3 linked regions of the Kluyveromyces lactis genome follow. The main gene of each other region encodes a partner of the protein of the gene in region 3 in a complex. Links are inferred from orthologs where the notes say so. Each region holds a gene or a part of one and is shown on either strand. Other genes may lie near its edges.

Region 1 (2,261 bases), on a different chromosome or scaffold from region 3:
ACTACAAGCTCCTCATCATGCCGTGCGTCAAGTAAAAACGTCTATTCCTAGTGAAGTATATGCGGTTTCTCGTGGTACATCTTCTTTGGCGTTACAGTACGGAATAGAAGTGACCAACTTTATCACACACGTCAATGACCAATCAACACCTGATTTGGATACATTCTTGAAGGTTGTTAAAGAAATCCCAGATAATACATACTGCAAGTTACGCTTAATGACATTTGACGATGTTCCGTTTGCCATTTCCTTAAAGACAAACTATCACTACTTCCCAACGGTAGAATTAAGAAAGAATCCAAAAACAGGTAGTTGGATCGAGAATGATATCTCGGAGACTTAATTTGACTATATATATGATTAATCATTTTTTACCGTTGTTTGCAAATTGTATATAGGTATTTATTAATGATAATTATCCATTATAGTAACCCGCTGATTTTTCATGACATGCTTTACTGAAAATCATGGTAAGAAATGGTGTGTCATTCATTATGGGGATGCCATTGTTATATGTACAGGATTGAAATCGAAACGATATCTTATTTTAATTGCCTTTCATCTCTTAATGGTATGGAAGCAATCTCTTTAAACGATGCATATGTGTGGAGTCTGCTAATGACCTGCCAGATAATGATTTAAGGGAGTTCCTACTCCATCCAGCATTACCATGATTTCTTCCAGCCTTGCCCCTCTTGAAGCTATTGGCTGTTTTTCTCCATCTTTTTGCGGCACCTTTGTGTGTTTTCATCAAGTTTCTGGTGAGGATGAGCGATGAAACATTAGTTTTAGATCCCAGAAGTCCAGTTCTAGCGGAAAAGTTCATCATCGAACCAAAGATAGAAGATAGCATATTTGAAGTAGTTCGCTGGTGGGGTAAATCCTGCTATAGTCCGTTAACAATGAAGTACTTGAATTGTAGCTCACTTTCACTCAGTACCTTGCCATAATCTCACAAGAAACTTTTATTACATACACTTCTTTCAGAGAAAACAAAAAATGTCATTTATGTTGAAACGTATGTAGTGATATACTATCGAAGTGTTTAAAATTACAATTTGATTAAATTGTGAGATGGGGGAGATACATGTATATACAGAAAGACGTATTTGTTTCTAGCAAAATGGTAGAAGATGATGTTTTTGAACCAGGGGTATTTAGGAGCACATATTTTGCAATGAGCTGTTATTGAAAAGCGTTGTTCTCGTATTCTTGTTCTTCTGTGTTTCTTTTTGTCTTGTTTTTGTGAAGAATTGATAACTATTTCTTATTCTTCACGTTGTAATGTTGAGATCTTGTCGTTTACGATTAACACAGTTCACGCTGCTTACGAGTCATAAATAACTTGGGTGAAATGCTACAACTTTTTGTTTGTAAAATCATAACTTTCTTGGTAATTCATTCGTTTAGATGTTGCATGGTATGTTGCCATTATGGTCATTAAGGTGAGACAAAAACAATGAGCTATTGTAGCTTTACTCATATTGAAATGAATTAAATTCATTCGTGAATATCATGCTAATTTACGCGAGACCTTGAGCACGGTAGGCTGCAATAGCTTCGTCGATCTTACCCTTAATGAATGGATCAGCTCTGATCTTTTTCTGGACCTTGGTAGCCTCAGCGAAAGTAGTAGCTTGTAGTTTTTCATCGAAAGATCTTGAGAGATCGGCAGCATCTTCGAACAATTGAATGGCATCATCAATTTCTTCTTGTTGCAATTTTAGTTGAGCAAGACCGATCTTGGCTTGTTCGGATCTTGGATCGATCTTACAAGCTTCTTCAAATAATTCGGAAGCTTCAACGAAGTTTTCAACGGTTGGGTTTCTAATCAAAGCAGTGGCCTTACCAATCATTGGAGCAATACCGACGTGAATACCTGGTAAAGCATCTTCCAACTTGATGGCAATATCGTATTGCTTGATGGCAGCATCTAGAGAGTTCTTAGCAGCCAAAATTTCGGCATAAAAGTTTGGAACTTCTGGAGCAGTTGGGAACTTTCTTCTGGCTTCGCTGAACAAAGTTTCACAATCATCAAATCTATCGTCACGGAAAGCCAAGCAAGCACATTGGATGTAGGCAAAAATGTTTTCTGGATTTAATTCCTTAGCCTTATCGAAATCGGCACCAGCTTCTTTGAAGTTTTCAACAACAAAATGCATTTGACCGCGATGATAGTAAACAGCAGAGCAGTTTGGATCTAATTCTAAAGCTTTGTCAAAGTATTCCTTGTATTGGTTGGCTTCACCCTTGTCAGCCAT
Region 2 (2,458 bases), on a different chromosome or scaffold from region 3:
CGCCGAAGATCTTGAGCCATTGATTAAAGATAGTATGAGCTCTGTTCCATTCAGACAACGTGGTAACAGTATTAGTTTAGGTGTTGCCAAGACCCATTTCACTGACAAGGAAGTTCTAGAGAACTTGTTGGCAACACAGAAGGCTTTCAAACAATCTATCACCAATCAACAAACGAAAAAACCAAGCATATTGTCCCAAACTACGCTGACAAGTACACACGGTCCTGGTATTGTGATTGACTTTGCTTAATAAAGCAACCCAATTTTTATGAACAATAACTGGAATTGTTGTCCTTGTCAAGATAGAATGAAACTTACTTCAGAAATAATGCCCATGTACATAGAAATCGTTAATAGAAAAAAGATTCCTTCTGCAATTGATAACTATAAACCTATCCGATAGAATCATCTTAATGTCATGCCAGCTTTCTGATGGCAAAGCTAAAATCAAAACTGTTCCGTTTTCTTAAAATACATAATGACGATGTGGATATATATACAGGAGATTCAGCCATTCTTTATAATCAGGCGCTTCCATAACGTTCCTGGTTTGATTGGAAAGTTGAACAGAACTAATAAGTCAAATACCATCTGCCTTTATTCTTTCTTCTTTTAAGTATCTGTTGTCCACTTCTAGATCTTGCCCTTGCTAGGAACCCCACTCTTCTCTTTCTCTTTAAAGTACTCGGTTGGAAAGTGTTACCTCTACTTTTCCATCTTCTCTGAGTCAAATCGAACAACATACCAAATATTGATGAGCCATTTGCTTGTGTTTGAGATTGTAAAGTGATTTCCATTGGATTGACTTGCGCCAAAGGTCTATGAAGACGTGAGTCTAGTGTTCTTAAAGGTGAGAAACTAGAGAAACTGGTTAATGTACGTTTTGAGGTCCACTGAAGAAGATTTCTTGTTATAAAACTCATAACGACTGGATGAGATTTTATTTTAATTGTTCTTCACTTCGAATTAAATCCTTATCGATAACTAATGAGTAGTTCGGGCGACTACTTTTAGGAGACTTCGTCTTCAAGAAATATGTCCTGGTTTCTCTTCGTTTGATTTCTTTGAATTCAAATTTTTTCTTTCTCGAGACTAATGTAAATGTATGAAAATATCGATGGATGTTGGAAATAGTGAAAGCATCTGTGGAAGCGAACAAACTTGGCTTCTAGCAAACCGCTGAAACTTCAAATCGGTCTTAGACTAGTCTGTTACAATAAGTGTATTGGCGGTTTCATTTCCTGGCTAACATTATTATTAAAGTGTTTTCTATTTACATTGAGCTAAAATGGTAGCTGTAGGTAAATTATATATCACGTGATGTGTGTTCATAAGTCAATTATGTTCTTCCTCAAGGGCAGCAGCTAAGTTCTCGCTCAAATTTTCCTTCGACAGGACAAATCCGCCTCTAGCAAGTTCACTTATTTCGAACTTCCCATCTTTGAAAAGGTAAGATCTGCTGGCAACATTTTTATACAATCTTTTCGTTCGCCTATTGAGATCTGGGTCGTTAACTATTGACGTTAATATAGACTCTGCATCTGAAGTCAGCACCGGATTTTGCGAGTAGAGCAGGTCACTAATTAGCTTGACCTTTTTCTTAAACAAGTTATCGATCCTGATGTCGGCTATATCGAAACCATCAGGTTTCATTCCGATCTCAACGATTGGTGCCTGGAGTTTTTTTGTAGCGCATAGTTTCGGATTTGTCTTCAAGAAATAGTAATGCTCGAAAATTTGCCGTAGTGTCTCCTTTATCTTTTCTGCAGGGAGTCTTAATACTTCTGTAATTTGAGTTGATTGAAGACCGTCAATTCCTGTGATATCTTTTATAAGTTCCTCATTCGGAGTCTGCCAGTTTTTCGGCCGCAGCCACTTATGACGATTGAAGCTCAAGAAATCCAAAGCATCCTTATTGTTACGAGACCATAAAATCGTTTGAGATGTTAGATTTGGGTCATCCATTTCTAAAATCGAGTGCTGCATTTCATAGGGCCAAAATTTTGCCAACTCATTAGGGTATTGTCTCAATATGTCTACGTGTTTAGGAGGATCGTTCAACAAATGGAAATGAACAGAATAGACTAATTTCTCCAAGGTCTTGCGTGTTGGATTCTCATTGAAAGAGTTTAACCGATGTAGCGTTTCATGTTGCTTATTCTTGGGGAAAGTGTCCACCTTCGAAATGGCGTCTTTAGTTATTGAATGAAGACCCTTGTATAATTTCGAAGTTCTCAGAAGACTAGCCTTCATCGTCAACCTCCAAAACTGTTGTCAAAAAAATACGCACAATACTTCACAGTATGTCCATTCGATTATGACCTATTTTAAACAGTAATAACCTTCGTCTTTAGATTAATACAGAACCTCTTCCGAGCCTGTTCTCTGTATGAAGATCGTCATGTGTGTGCTCTAGGCTAGAAAATTTTCGTACCTACTTACTATTCCATATTGCAAT
Region 3 (2,573 bases):
GGGTTGGGATTTGACGAGGTAGTTCCTGTCGATGTACACATCGCAAGGATTGCATCGAGGGACTACAAATTAAACAACACTAAGCAGGAAATCAGTGAACTGCAGGCTGAATACAAAAAGTTACCGATTACACGTAAGAAGGTGAACTATGAACTTGATATGTACAGAAGGAAGCTCCAGGATCTATGGGGCCCATACGCGGGCTGGGCACAATGTGTCCTTTTCGCACAAGAAATTGGGAAAACAGTTGGAGCAAGTACAAGTGATAAATTAGTGAAAAGACGCAAACTGGACTATGATGCATCTGGAGAAGAAGAAGACTTTAAAGTTGTAGTCAAAGACGAGGCAGAGATCAGTACGGAAGATTCTTTGTCCACGGTTAAAATTGAAGATACTATGTCGATAGAGTATAGCATTACTGGGAGGCCGCTACGGAGAGCGGTAAAAAAGGCTAAAAAGGTCTATTGAATTAATTGACTGCAAATAAAACTCTCTTTAAATACAATTCTTATTCGTCAAATTAAAGTGTTGTCGAAGGAAATTTTTTGTTTTATATTCCGTTATTTAAGTTGGTGTATACATATGTACAGGAAGGCTGGGTTCATCCAAATGGACGGTTACACTTATCTCTTTATACAATCACTTCGATGGCATTAATATCATAGTGTATTAGCGTTGTTTTTTGCATCTTCTTCTTGCAGCTGTATTTCCGCTTCTGTTACCTTTGCCATTTGAGCCTCAGCTAATTTATTAACATATTCTTGAACAGTTTCCAATTCATCGTATCTAGACACAGAGGAGCCATTTTCTCTCAACTCCCTTACCGCTTGACATGCTTCTGCGATGGCAGATTCTGTGTTTTCTGATGTATACAGAAGGAAGGATTCACCTGCATCCACAATTGTATTGTTAGATTCTTCTAAAAAGTTCTTGATGTCCTCGTTTCTTAGTGCAAATTTCTTTAACTTCAATGTTGCAACCGCTTTCAATCCATCCACAAATGTTCTGTCCACTTTGTTCTCATCGATGTACTCAGAGATACCGTATATGGCATATTGAAAACGTTGCAATGATTCGAAAATCTCTTCATCTTCGTTAGCAGGAGCTTCTAAAAAGTCTTTTTCGAATGATTCGATAAATACTTGTTTTTCAACAGCAAATTTCTCATTCGCTATCTTGAATGCCCAGTCTCGTTCGCTAAGGACGTGTCTTATTCTCCACATTGTCGTTCTGATCTTTTCGGAGATATCTTGGTATGCTTCGGTTTGTGCTTCAAAGTTGAACTGCACCAAATGGTTTTCACGTGCTAATACGTTACGTTCTTTCAAACATGTGTACCACAAAGAATGTAGGTCAGTGAACGATTTTCTTCTCAACTCTGGGATGGTCCAAGGTCTCGAAAGCGTATCCAATTCCTCGGGCGTTCTTAAAAACTTCTTCTCGGAGAAAAATTGCCATAAAGGATGATCATCTGGACATGTCAAATTGGCAGCAGCCGGTGGAATAGGAGCTGTAATCTTTAAATCATTATCGTGATGGGTCCTCTGGGTAGGTAGTCTAACGTTCTCTCTCTTGGCTGGTTTGGGTTTAGGTTTGGTGAATCTCGTCCTGGCACATGCTCTAGAAGTAGTATGCAATCCCCTTCTTGCTGGGAACATTTTGAAAATATAATATCCCTGCTATAATAAACACGTCCTGCAGCTACTCAATCGAGGTAGAACACTTCAATATCACGACAGCTAGCTGATTCATCCATGTTTTAATTCCTATTCAGCTTTCCTCTGCTTAAATGTTATAAAAATTTTTTGATCGAACAGAGTTGATTCGGGGTCCGTCATTAGGTTGCCCGGCCTTTGTCATGTGATAGTCACGTGAATATCAGGTTGACTATTGACTCTCTTAGTGAAGCATAGTGCAATAAGATGATAAACTAGCATCGCATATCCTGGCCATCTTTCAACAGGTACAGTATCATTCAAAGATGGTTGGAAACGTGTACCTTCCCTGGTTTAACTGATTATTCTATAATTCAGAGCTTTCCATTGACATCGAAATTCAAAACTTCAACACTTTTTATCAATTAGTACGTTAACAATAATTTGGTGATTAAGTATGTTATGGAGGATGCTCTGGAGTGTGAATGGAACTAAGCCTTGGATTGTATATCGACTACTCTACTATACCTGGTACTCCATTTGATAAACTGACAAAGGAAACCATTCAACCTAACTGCTGTACCCTCTATCAATTGCATTATTGGTTATTGTAAGAATACGACTGCATCATAAATATAGAAGACATACACACTTTACGCCGCAAAGATGTCTGATACGCCTCTGGATCTATTAAAATTGAATTTAGACGAGCGAGTATATGTGAAATTACGTGATGCTCGTGAATTAGTGGGTACTCTTCAGGCTTTCGACTCACATTGTAATATTGTTCTTTCAGATTCAAAGGAAACCATTTATGAACTAGTAGAAGGAGATTTGAAAACGACCGAAAGGTTTTCGGAAATGATTTTCGTTAGAGGTGGTCTTGTGGCCCTTGTAACAACACCAGAAGATGAATGA

Evidence for each region.
Region 1: MRPL4 (region 3) and MRP35 share a complex: the UniProt entries of both Saccharomyces cerevisiae proteins name them as parts of the mitochondrial large ribosomal subunit. The link is inferred for Kluyveromyces lactis from reciprocal best matches to the Saccharomyces cerevisiae genes MRPL4 and MRP35.
Region 2: MRPL4 (region 3) and MRX14 share a complex: the UniProt entries of both Saccharomyces cerevisiae proteins name them as parts of the mitochondrial large ribosomal subunit. The link is inferred for Kluyveromyces lactis from reciprocal best matches to the Saccharomyces cerevisiae genes MRPL4 and MRX14.

The regions. Positions count from the first base shown.
Region 1 is NC_006042.1:2,241,531-2,243,791, reverse strand, and holds MRP35 (mitochondrial 54S ribosomal protein bL35m), read right to left. Parts: upstream 854-2,261; coding exon 566-853; downstream 1-565. Other genes in the region: NMA111 (Nma111p), read left to right, coding at 1-343; protein channel TOM70, read right to left, coding at 1,524-2,261. UniProt on the Saccharomyces cerevisiae protein: Component of the mitochondrial ribosome (mitoribosome), a dedicated translation machinery responsible for the synthesis of mitochondrial genome-encoded proteins, including at least some of the essential transmembrane subunits of the mitochondrial respiratory chain.
Region 2 is NC_006042.1:1,781,289-1,783,746, reverse strand, and holds MRX14 (mitochondrial 54S ribosomal protein bL34m), read right to left. Parts: upstream 924-2,458; coding exon 573-923; downstream 1-572. Other genes in the region: MRPL1 (mitochondrial 54S ribosomal protein uL1m), read left to right, coding at 1-250; GEP5 (Gep5p), read right to left, coding at 1,336-2,253. UniProt on the Saccharomyces cerevisiae protein: Component of the mitochondrial ribosome (mitoribosome), a dedicated translation machinery responsible for the synthesis of mitochondrial genome-encoded proteins, including at least some of the essential transmembrane subunits of the mitochondrial respiratory chain.
Region 3 is NC_006038.1:467,608-470,180, forward strand, and holds MRPL4 (mitochondrial 54S ribosomal protein uL29m), read right to left. Parts: upstream 1,659-2,573; coding exon 660-1,658; downstream 1-659. Other genes in the region: 8-oxoguanine glycosylase OGG1, read left to right, coding at 1-468; U4/U6-U5 snRNP complex subunit LSM3, read left to right, coding at 2,322-2,573. UniProt on the Saccharomyces cerevisiae protein: Component of the mitochondrial ribosome (mitoribosome), a dedicated translation machinery responsible for the synthesis of mitochondrial genome-encoded proteins, including at least some of the essential transmembrane subunits of the mitochondrial respiratory chain.